Linked DNA regions of Xenopus tropicalis. The protein of the gene in region 2 binds, or shares a complex with, the protein of the main gene of each other region. Links are inferred from orthologs where the notes say so. Each region holds a gene or a part of one and is shown on either strand. Other genes may lie near its edges.

Evidence for each region. Proteins that work in one complex are often made in the same cells at the same time.
Region 1: cdc45 (region 2) and mcm5 share a complex: the UniProt entries of both Homo sapiens proteins name them as parts of the CMG helicase complex. The link is inferred for Xenopus tropicalis from reciprocal best matches to the Homo sapiens genes CDC45 and MCM5.

Annotation. Positions count from the first base shown.
Region 1 is NC_030680.2:115,591,518-115,596,853, reverse strand, and holds the start of mcm5 (DNA replication licensing factor mcm5), read right to left. Parts: upstream 3,276-5,336; 5' UTR 3,261-3,275; coding exon 3,091-3,260; intron 2,417-3,090; coding exon 2,290-2,416; intron 2,113-2,289; coding exon 1,984-2,112; intron 1,662-1,983; coding exon 1,489-1,661; intron 1,180-1,488; coding exon 1,024-1,179; intron 650-1,023; coding exon 483-649; intron 252-482; coding exon 80-251; intron 1-79. UniProt on the Homo sapiens protein: Acts as a component of the MCM2-7 complex (MCM complex) which is the replicative helicase essential for 'once per cell cycle' DNA replication initiation and elongation in eukaryotic cells.
Region 2 is NC_030677.2:154,229,898-154,235,256, forward strand, and holds the start of cdc45 (cell division control protein 45 homolog), read left to right. Parts: upstream 1-1,872; 5' UTR 1,873-1,986; coding exon 1,987-2,037; intron 2,038-2,120; coding exon 2,121-2,180; intron 2,181-5,359. Other genes in the region: ufd1 (ubiquitin fusion degradation protein 1 homolog), read right to left, coding at 1-22, 1,134-1,266, 1,638-1,640. UniProt on the Homo sapiens protein: Required for initiation of chromosomal DNA replication. Core component of CDC45-MCM-GINS (CMG) helicase, the molecular machine that unwinds template DNA during replication, and around which the replisome is built.

The DNA of each region.
Region 1 (5,336 bases), on a different chromosome or scaffold from region 2:
ATGGTGGTTAAAATAGCTATGGGCCATTTGCCTATAAGGGGATATCACTGTTTTAGTTTACAGTTGACAGAAGTTTTACCTCTTGCGGGAGCCTCCAAACAGCAGGCAAGCAATGGCTTTCTTGATGTCACTACTGCCATAAATGGAGGGGGCAATACTTTTAGCAACAGTCTCATAGATATCAGGCTTTGCAGATAGGCGCCTAAACTCCTCTTCCTCTTGTGGCGTTATAGCACCTGCTGCACTTCTTCCTAAACAACGAGTAAGCAATAAATGCATATCACACATCTGACAGCTATAAGTGTTGAGTAAGTGTATGTGTTGTGCTTGGGGGAGGCAGTGGGCACCCCCTTTAGAAAATATTATTAACACTCGGGATTATATAGGAATTGTGTTCAACTGGAATGGAATGGAAAGTTCAACTGGAATGTGTTACTGTCCCTTTAAACATAGCTGCACTTTTGCATATTGCCACCTCTCACCTGTTCCTTCTGTATCCACTTGGATGCCCACTACCCTTATATAGGAACTGCGGATCCCAACTCCCACTCGATCCCGGCCCTTTGTTGAGGTCTTTCCACTCTTCCGGATTGAGTAAATACCCATGATTGTCACTCTGTTTCCAGGAACAACCTTATCACACAAGTACCTTAAATAGACATTAGGAAATTTAAATGTTTAATGTGGTATCACAATAATTTACACCAAAGCTAATAGCATTAGATATAAAAAGGCAGACTCGAAAATAAATGCATTTTAAATGGGGTTAATTTAAGCCGAGGTTACAGTGCACTTTAAATGTCTTAACCACAAGACACTGTATGGAAGAGTCTCCTGTAGCAACATTAACTCTGCAGCTAAGCATCAAATTGACAGTGATCAGAAAAAAAGCCTCTGTCTACATCCCAAAAGAAATATAGATGAAAAGGACCAATTATTTGCAAACCTATACATAGAACATACTGCATTTCTCTAATCTAGCAATATCTGTTTCATTACAAATATATTTAATTTTAAACATACCTGTCACAATACAACTGCATGTGTCTTGGAAGCTCTCCATGAGGTACAGCATCTGGAGACTCCTGAAGCTTCAGAGTTTGAAAATCTACACATTTGCACTTGTCAGGTATAATAAAGTATGGGTCCAATGGGCACTTTGGACGGCCAGCCTGTTCCCTGTGAAGAGTAACAGCAAAAGTTAAAAGAATCTAAAAGGTAAATGTTGTGCTGACTAATCAATTTTACCACAGCTAACAGCCAATTCCATCCAGTGGTGAACTATGGCTCCTAGACCTTCCCCCCATATCAACTGTTAACAGATAATGGAAATACACTCCACTTCACTAAGAATAGTACGAAGTATAAAAAGGCTTAAGAAGTTTGACAAGTTGCTTCCATTGGAAGAAAACTTTATATTACACAATCACAAGGGTCCAAGTAACATCAAAAGACATTCATGTTCCACAGAACTTCAATTACACATACGTGTTGCATTTACGTGGCATAGCATATCCCTCTAGACCAGGACGCACAGCTATGTTGCCAATTGTGTTTCGGCAGCTACGACACTGGATTGAGATCTTCGTAGCCTTGGCTCTCACAGCGGTGGCAGCAATGATAATGCCGGGAATTTTGACAAGATGAGACATTTGCTCGGACTGCAATATAACATTGGGTGAGAATATGCAATGGTTAATAAAGTGGCACAGGGATTAAATAACCCTAAGTAATATTAATGGCAGTATGTTGTGACTTCAGTGGAACAAGCTGCACCACTGACTAAGCAGGGCATAATATTTAAGTCTAGATATTTAAGCATACTTTGATGAAAATCTGACATTACCACCACTTTGAAATGAAAATATTAACAAATGTCATTTATAAAAAAAAACAAAAAAAACACAGGTATTGTAATTATATGTTTACGTAGCCATGTGACAATGCAAATTTCAAGAGACCATCAACCATAGAATTTCTCACCTTCAGGCTTCGAATATTAGCAGGGTTGGCATCAGACCGCAACATAACTTGGATTTCCTGTATAGTTTCTTCACCTGCAGGTCGTGGGCGAGTCACCTCATCTGCAACTTCCTGGGCTGCCTCTTCCAGCTGTAAATTGAGTTAAACAATGAGTAAAATCATAAAAATATATAAAATCACACACTGACTGTGACATATCTTGCTATATTATACATATACTCTACATCCCAGATGTAAAGACCTTAATACTCACAGTACTGGCAAATAACTGGCAGACTGAACACATTGGTACTAAAAGCTACTTACCAGCTGCAGATGTTCAGTTGGCTGTTTGTACAAATAATCTGCAAGGTCCTCATCAAAGCTGGCCAGGTCCTCCATTTCCACCTCTATCCAGTATTCTCCCAGATTATAGTGACGCTTGAGTTCATCTCTGTAAATAAAATATGTTGTTGAATGTATGTTATTTGGCCCTGTCACAGATACTGAGGGTTGTAAACTACAAATCTGTAAAACTATGGTCAGTCCCGATTTTGACATTGACTTAAGCACCTGCAACACCTTAAAGAGGAATATAAAGACAAAAATCCTAGTTCTTTGTGATATTTAGTCCAAAAAATAAATTGACAAAATAAACTTATTGAAAATTCTCTACCATTTTTTATGGCTTTCCTATAACAGACTTGGGAAAAAGTTTTCAGATATGAATACAGAGCTCCAGTTAGCTGTGTTTTAACTCAGTTTTACATGCTTTGCCATCTGATTTTTTTTAACACCTCCTCTTATCACAGCCACTGTGCATTATGGGTATCTCTGTACCATTAATGTAACCATGGATCTATGTCTAGGATGGAAGGACAGTAGTGGATCGGAAGTAATTACAGAACAGCACTGACACAAGTGATGGGTATGACATTTCACATGTATGTAGATGAATATACAATGTAAAAGTCCCCTTTACATGGCACTTAATGACACATGCGCTCGTATATATGTTCGGGTCATGCTCAAGCCCATTAGTAACCTCTGAATTAATCAGATCCCTTCGTTTAGGATTACACCTAACAAAATCAAACTTGTAAATCGTTACAACAAAGTGTCCCAGACCTGTATTTGAAGGTGAAGCCGGTGCGATCGGTCCCTACACGGTACTGCCTGAGGAACTCTCTGAACCGCTTCTTAAGTTGTGATTTCTTGGCTTGTCCGTCGTCACCCACCGGCTGCTCTCCGCCAAAACTATCGCTGTAGTAGATTCCAAGATCGTCAAATCCCGACATTGTAACGAAGAAAAGGGTACCAAGCACAAAAGGCGAGAGCTGCGGCCGCCAATGCACCTATTTCACAAGAACGCGCGAAATCTTTTTTTCGCGCCAAACCTCTGTAACAGCGACGATCTGTTCCGCCTCAGCTATTTCCCTATTGGTTGATACCGTTTCTAGGGACCGCCCTTCTCCTGTATCTACGGCCAATCCAGCAGTGCACGCCTTACGTAAGAGATTTCGAAGCCTGCTGAGTGGCTGGGAGTAATGGCAGCTTTTTCCCTTTCATAGGTGGGAGGGCAATGCCTGGCGCCAAACTTTACCGAAACAAAATGGAGGAAGTTGTAGCTGAGGAACAGAAAAACTAGCGTGTTCAGAGGAGTCCAATACTCTGAGGCAGTATTTTAGAACCGAGTTCTACTTGGTCTTGTTATGGTGATTTCATTCTACATTTCTATCTATTTTACTTAAAGGGATATTATGATTTTTATGGTGAACTGTTTATTTCTAGATTTCAGTGTTTACTTAACTTGCTCTACCATTTAAAGGAGAAAATCAATTCATACTTACCGAGATTTTCTTTTCCTGGCCTTCCTCCCTGGCAGCATAACATTTGGGTTTATCCTCTACCAAATGTTATGCTGCCAGGGGATGGCCAGGAAAATGTTATTCTGTGTAGGCAGCTATGTCAGTGCATTGTGCCTGAGGGGTAGATTTATTAGAGTGAGAAACTTGCTAGAGTGAAATTCTACTATTATTTTTTTAAAAGGGTGAACTTTTACACTCACTAATTGATAAATATGCTTTTAAAAATCAATGGATAGAAGCGTATGTAGGGGTTTATCAAAAATGGGCCCTTAGGACAGACACCCCTAGACTAGGCCACTGGTTGGTGTTAGTTAGCAGGGACACTGGGATGACTGGGTTCTACATAGTTAACAGGGAGTATACCTGTAGTTCGGGTTATGGCCACCGGGTGGTGCATAGGCCCATAAAAAGGGTAGCAGCCATCTTGAGCCACTTTAGGCTGGGATAGCTCCTGGGACCAGGAGCTTCCCCTGATAGAGTTATTAGATAGTAGTTTCTTGTAATAGGACATTCTAGGAGTGTCATGTAGGACACCAAGCTAGAATGGGCGGATATTGCCCCTCCAGGAGTGGTAGTGGGGTTAAGACCCCCCAGCATTACATCTGCTGGAGTGCAGGGCATTAAGTGGCTAGGTAGGTGGACAAGTCCCCGCTAGTCCAGGAGTCCGGATCTGAGGGTGCCATACGCTAGTACCGGTGTGGGTCCTTGTGGTGTAACTCCTAGCATGGGTACTGAGAACTCCAAAGGGAGGGTCTCACAGATAGTACCGGGGATAGCACCTAGATAGGAGCACATTGGGGAAACCCGTGAGGTAGTACCAACAGGAAAAGGATCTCAATGAGAAGTAAGGAGATATGCCCTGCCGTGTGTATAAATGATATGCCGCTCCTGGAGAGGTCTCTGCCTGAATAAACCATAGCATTCCTTTCATATACAACTGTGTCTGCTGTGAGTATCTACCTAGCCCAGAGGACCACTACTACGCCGGTAAGGAATAACTCAAAGAGTGAGTACATCACACCGGGAGTACGTGGGTCCCAAAGGGGCATTGTATCCTGATCGTTTCCCAGGGGGTGGAATATAGTTCCACAAGACCATCCCTGGGTGGAGGCACGCCATTTAGGGGAGAATCCCTTGTAAACCCCCATAGTAAGCGGGGGCTCAGGACTCCTGTAGCGCCAAAGTATCGTGCTCCAACGGGTAGTGCCACAACCGTGCATAAAGTGGGCTACACGTAATTTCGGTATAGTGGACTGTGGCAAGCTCTAACTTCGCTCATTGATAAATATACCCCTGAGTCTGAGCCTTCAGAAGGAGCCAGTGCTACACATTAGAACTGCTTTCAGATAACCAATCGTGTCTCCTCCTCCCATGTAACGGGAGGAGTCCCAAGCCAGACTTGGATTTTTTACTATTGGCTGCTATTCTGATATCTACAACTTTTAGCAACGCAGGTGACAGGAAGCTGCTATTTTGTCATTGTTCTGCTGATCGGCTGCTGGGGGA
Region 2 (5,359 bases):
AAAGCAGATGGAGGCATGATAACTGAAAAAAAGAAGAACAAGAAAAGTTACAGTAGTATAGTCTGTGACACACCATACACTATACACATTACTTCCAGTGACCCTTTTTCAAAAATGAATAAAGAATCACTGAAAGTGCTCCACTTTTTAAAGACTGAATTATCTCCTTTGACTAGAATTTTTGTTTTTCCTCACTCATGAAAGGACCAGTAAAACAAAAAACAAGAAAAGGTTTTATCTGTATGTAAATATAATATACTATTACCCTGCACTGGTAAAAAGTGTATGTTTGCTTCAGAAACACTACTACAAGTTATATGAAGTATATGGCACAACCAAAAGAATAGGGTAAAAAGGCACACATCTACACAGCAGAGTACAATGGTGCTGTTTTTACACAGCATAATAAACATGGGTCAAATGCCATTCATTCTTTCTACAGAACAATTGATTGAAAACCTCTTATATAATATAGAACCTATAATACTTAATGCTCAGGACCAGGGGTTTTTCCTGTACAAGCGGTCATTGTGTAATTTGGATCTTCATGCCTTAAGTCTGCTCAAAATGTATTTAAACATAATATACCAAATAGGATTGTTTTGTCTCTAATAAGGTTTGATTATATCCTAGTTGGGATTTAGTACAAGTACTGATTTATTACAGAGAAAAAGGAAATTATTTTCTTAAATTTTAATTATTTAATTAAAATGCAGCCTATGGGCCTTGCCGTAATTTAGAGCTTTCTGGATAACAGGTTTCCGGATAACGGATCACATACCTGTACTGGATATGTGTGGCCAAGAATTACCATTGTGTCCACTTTCCACATCCTGTACAGTTTGCATGATGGTACATGATGATAACAGAGATCTCATGACCTGTGACCAGGCCTGGACTGGCAATGTGTGGATTCTGGCAAATTCCAAAAGGACTGCTGTTAGATGCCATAGACAAGCACTATTTAGTGAACTAGCAGGGGCCTTGAAATGCAAGGGCATATATTAAATCCCAGTCTGCTTGTGGCCCACAAAAAAGTGGTCTAGTTTATGATTATTAGATATTATTACCTATGTTTAAATAATTTTATCTTGAAAAAATTACAGTACAGCTCTTAGTCACATATTACTTACTTTTCCCTCCTTTCTCCACATCAGATCGGTCATTGGGACCCGCCAACATGGAAACGGAGTAGCAACGGTACTGAGTAGAGAAGCGGTTTTGGAAAACCCGGGGTATGGGGTGGTCAAACATGTTGAAAGAAAACTAAAAGAGAATGGAATTAGTGAGATTTTGGAGCTGTTATTTCATTAAGCAACATAAAGATACATCGTGATAATTTGAGAAATTCTTTTTTACTTTGTTTTTACCCTTTTAGTGTTATTTAAGTGATCTGTAAAAACAAAAACTATTACGGAAACATACATTCAGATTAAAATCATACTGTTATTTTTCATGTAAAAAAAATCTTACATACAACAACTCTTCTTTCCCATCCAAGATGCATATAGCAGTAAAAAACTAACCCCTCAGTCACTGTTCAGCCTCCATAAAACCTGGCAGGTAAATGGTGTTTTATGATGATATATAGGTATACATGACATGACGCTATCACAAATGTGGAAGACAGATCTTACCATTTTGTTACCGGCTTTCTCTTATTATCCCGGCGGACCTAACACTATCTTAGTCACCGTCCTTCCCGGAAGTAAATATAATTGCGAATCAGACGATCGGAACAAGAGAAACTACGAATCCCAAGAAGCAACACGCTAAAAGCGGAAGTTAATAGACCGCTGTCAGATATCGGGAAGCGACCAATTGGCTGCTAAACTGTAGGACGCAGAGGCGGGGTTTATCTTGCGCTGAGCCTTCACGGATTGGGCGGGGTTGGTGTATGTCACGACGAAACGGGCTGTTTGATTGGCCACCGCTGCTCTAAGGGATTTTGGCGCCAGTTTCGAGGGCAGCCGTCAACTTGTCGAGATGTTTGTGAGTGATCTCCGTAAAGAGTTTTACGACGTGATCGTTACCGAGGTGAGAAGGGTAACCGGGATAAAGGATTTTTTTTCCCAAATAAATGATATGACACCACTCACTGTCTCTTCTCTGATTTCCAGCGCGTTCTTCTCCTTGTTGCACCTGATGTTGATGCTCTCTGCGCCTGTAAGGTACTTCAGGTAAGAACAAACCAAAATTAAGTTTTTTTTCAACAATTTAAATCACCATACCTACTTAAAACAACATGTAACTATGAAATAAAGCCAATAGGATTGCTTTATCACTAACAAGTTTTTATGCAGCTTAGTTGCTGTAAAGTACAAGATACTGTTTTATTACAGAGAAAATGTAATTAAAAAAAAAGATTTTGCATAAAATTGACAATGGGAGATTTCTGCATATCTGGTTTCCATTAAACTCACAGTGCCCCTTGCACAGATCCGACAGTATAAACACTTCATCCCCACATATAAAGCTGGTCATACCACCTAGTTTGCCAAATGAGTGGATCTTTGTCCCATATGTCACAGCACCACACTGATTGTTAGGCCTTCGACCAATGATTGGATCATAATGGCTGCTAATGCAGGCTGTTGGGAGAGGTCCACATCAATACGTATGTGGTGCTCTTCCCAATGGGTTTTTTTTTTTTTCTACACTGCCTAATATGTTGGCCAGGTAAATATCAGGGATGAAGTCGGAGAGGACCCATGTACCGGTAAATACAACTTATTTTATTTCCCACCAGATAATGTGCATGGTACCAACAGTGTTGCAGCTCTTGAACCATTTAGGGTCTGCTACTAAAACACTGTTACTAAAACAATGTAAAGTGTACTAGTGAGTATAAGTTACCAATGATAGAAAAACCTAGAAAGAAGGATAAATATTTCATTTCTGAAATCTGAACACTTGCCCCAAGTTGGTTCTATTATTCCTCCATCTCCAGCCTTTTGCCCAAATGAAAACATTTTATAGTGTAAAATTCTTGTGAAAGTTTTGCATTTGCTACATATAAATAGTGCATCTGTGTAATGGTGGATACTATGATTTAACTTTTATTTTTACCATAACTACGTAGTCATATTTTTTGGTTTTGGTCAAATGCACCTTAGAAGTTTAGTCCAAACCCTTATTAGCACATTTACAAAATATTGCAACAATTGTGAACAAATATTTGTTCTATTCAATTGTCCAGAGTGGTAATGTGCTTGGTCTTAAATTTTCCAATTCTTCCCCCTTTATTAAAGGAACAGTAACACTAAAAAATGAAAGAGCTTTAAAGTAATAAAAATATAATGCACTGTTGCCCTGCAATGGTAAAACTGGTGTGTTTGCTACAGTAACACTACTATAATTTATATAATAAGCTGCTGTGTAGTCATGGGGGCAGCCATTCAAGCTGTAAAAAAGGAGAAAAGGCACAGGTTACATAGCAGATAACAGATAAGTTCTGTAGAATACAATAGTGTTTTATCTGTTATCTGCTATGTGCCTGTGCCTTTTCTCCTTTGAATGGCTGCCCCCATGGCTACATAGCAGCTTATTTATATAAATTATAGTAGTCTTTCTAAAGTAAACACACAACTTTTACCAGTGCAGGGCAGCAGCACATTATATTTTAGTTACTTTTATACACTTTCATTTTTTGGTGTTACTGTTCCTTTAACTCAAACTGCCCTATCACCTTGGCTGATATCATAACATCGGGCAGTGTGCTCTAGAAACACTATCCCATCAAAGATGAAGACCAGGTTTCTAGAGCCCAGCTGCTGGACAGTGATAACCTGCACTTGAAGTAGTGAGCCATTTTTTGGGCCAAACCAGCTCTTTAAAGTCATGTGATTTTAATAACCATTTAGTTTAGGGGAATTAAAAAATCTGCAAACAGTGCTAGGATAATCCAAAATCCTGGATTTGGTGCATGCCTCTCCTTAATGCATTAAAGGTACCTGCCATTTAAAAATCTAGCACCAAAAAAGCATAAAATATGTAGTCTTAGCACTTTAAATATAGGCTGAAAACTGTTGATTTTTCTTAGTGAACTGGTAGACTATTTAGCATTTTTAAGAAATTTAAAAATGTCTAAAAAGTAGTTTTGTTTTTTTTTTCTCATTTTAAGTGTATGCTGGCCAAATTACCCACCAAGTAAACCCATCATTTGATACACCCTGGGTGTACTAGTAAAGGGCAAACAAGTGCAAGATCATTTGTATTATACGACTAGTCACAAATGTTTAAAGTATTCTGGATGCATGGACATTAATTGATGTTTTAGGAGTTTTCTTTAAAGGACATGTAAACCCCACGCACAAACAGCCTCTTAGAAATCTTTTTTTAATACCTGTCACACTGGTTGTCCAGAGGTTAATAGAAAGGCTGCAGCATCCCATTAATCACTTAGATTTCCTTCTCCTCCTGTAACCCACTCAGCCCCCTCCCTCAGAGATTTGCTTTGACTTCTGGCTTGTGGGCATGCTCAGTTGTTCTAAGCTCCGATTACCAAACACGCTCTCCAGTCTAGCAGCCAATGAAGAGATGGCATTTCTGGGTCCCATAGAAGCTCAGGTCTAGCTGTCTGCTTCAATGTTTTTCTTCTAACCTCCTGTCCTGAGCTCAGCTTAAACAAAGCAGAACTTTTATCGAAGACAGTTCTGCCTGTGTGAGCCTGTATTCTTTATGAAATGTATGCTGAATTCGGGTCTGTGTGTGTATGTTTGCAGATATAAATGTATTTGATTATGTATCAGGAAAAATGGCCACTGGGTGAAAGCTGCTATTTGCTTTAGAAAAAATGTAATTGTGCTGATAAACAGAGGGGGATATATGCAGTGCAAATTATGCCATTTGGGTGGGGGAAGACGTGCCCACCTGATATATATTGTAGGCAAATGTAGGCTTTACATGTCCTTTAAGAATCTGTATACAACTAAATTGCCCCCTCCCTCATCTGCTATGTTGGACTGTTTTAACAATCAAAACAAATCCGGTGTAAGCAAAGCCTTAAATGGGAACTCCATTTTAAAAGTATATGTACATTTTAATATTGAAGCAATATGCCTTTTTATATTTTTTTCTGACTTATAAGAACTTAAAATAAAAATAAATTAAATAAAATCTTGATCTCCTTACAGACAAAGCATCAGTTCCCATAGTGTAATGCAACAATGCATTGTGGGAGTTGGTGTCTTAGCTGGAGGAACGGTGACTTGCTGCATTGTTTAAACTCTAGGGACAAGAACAAAACTTTTAGACAGATGATGCGTGCAATATCATTTAATTTAATTGGATAGCTGCTAAAAATAATTAACTATATAAGGCTGCACAATGACGCTGAAACCCCCTCATGTAAACAGAG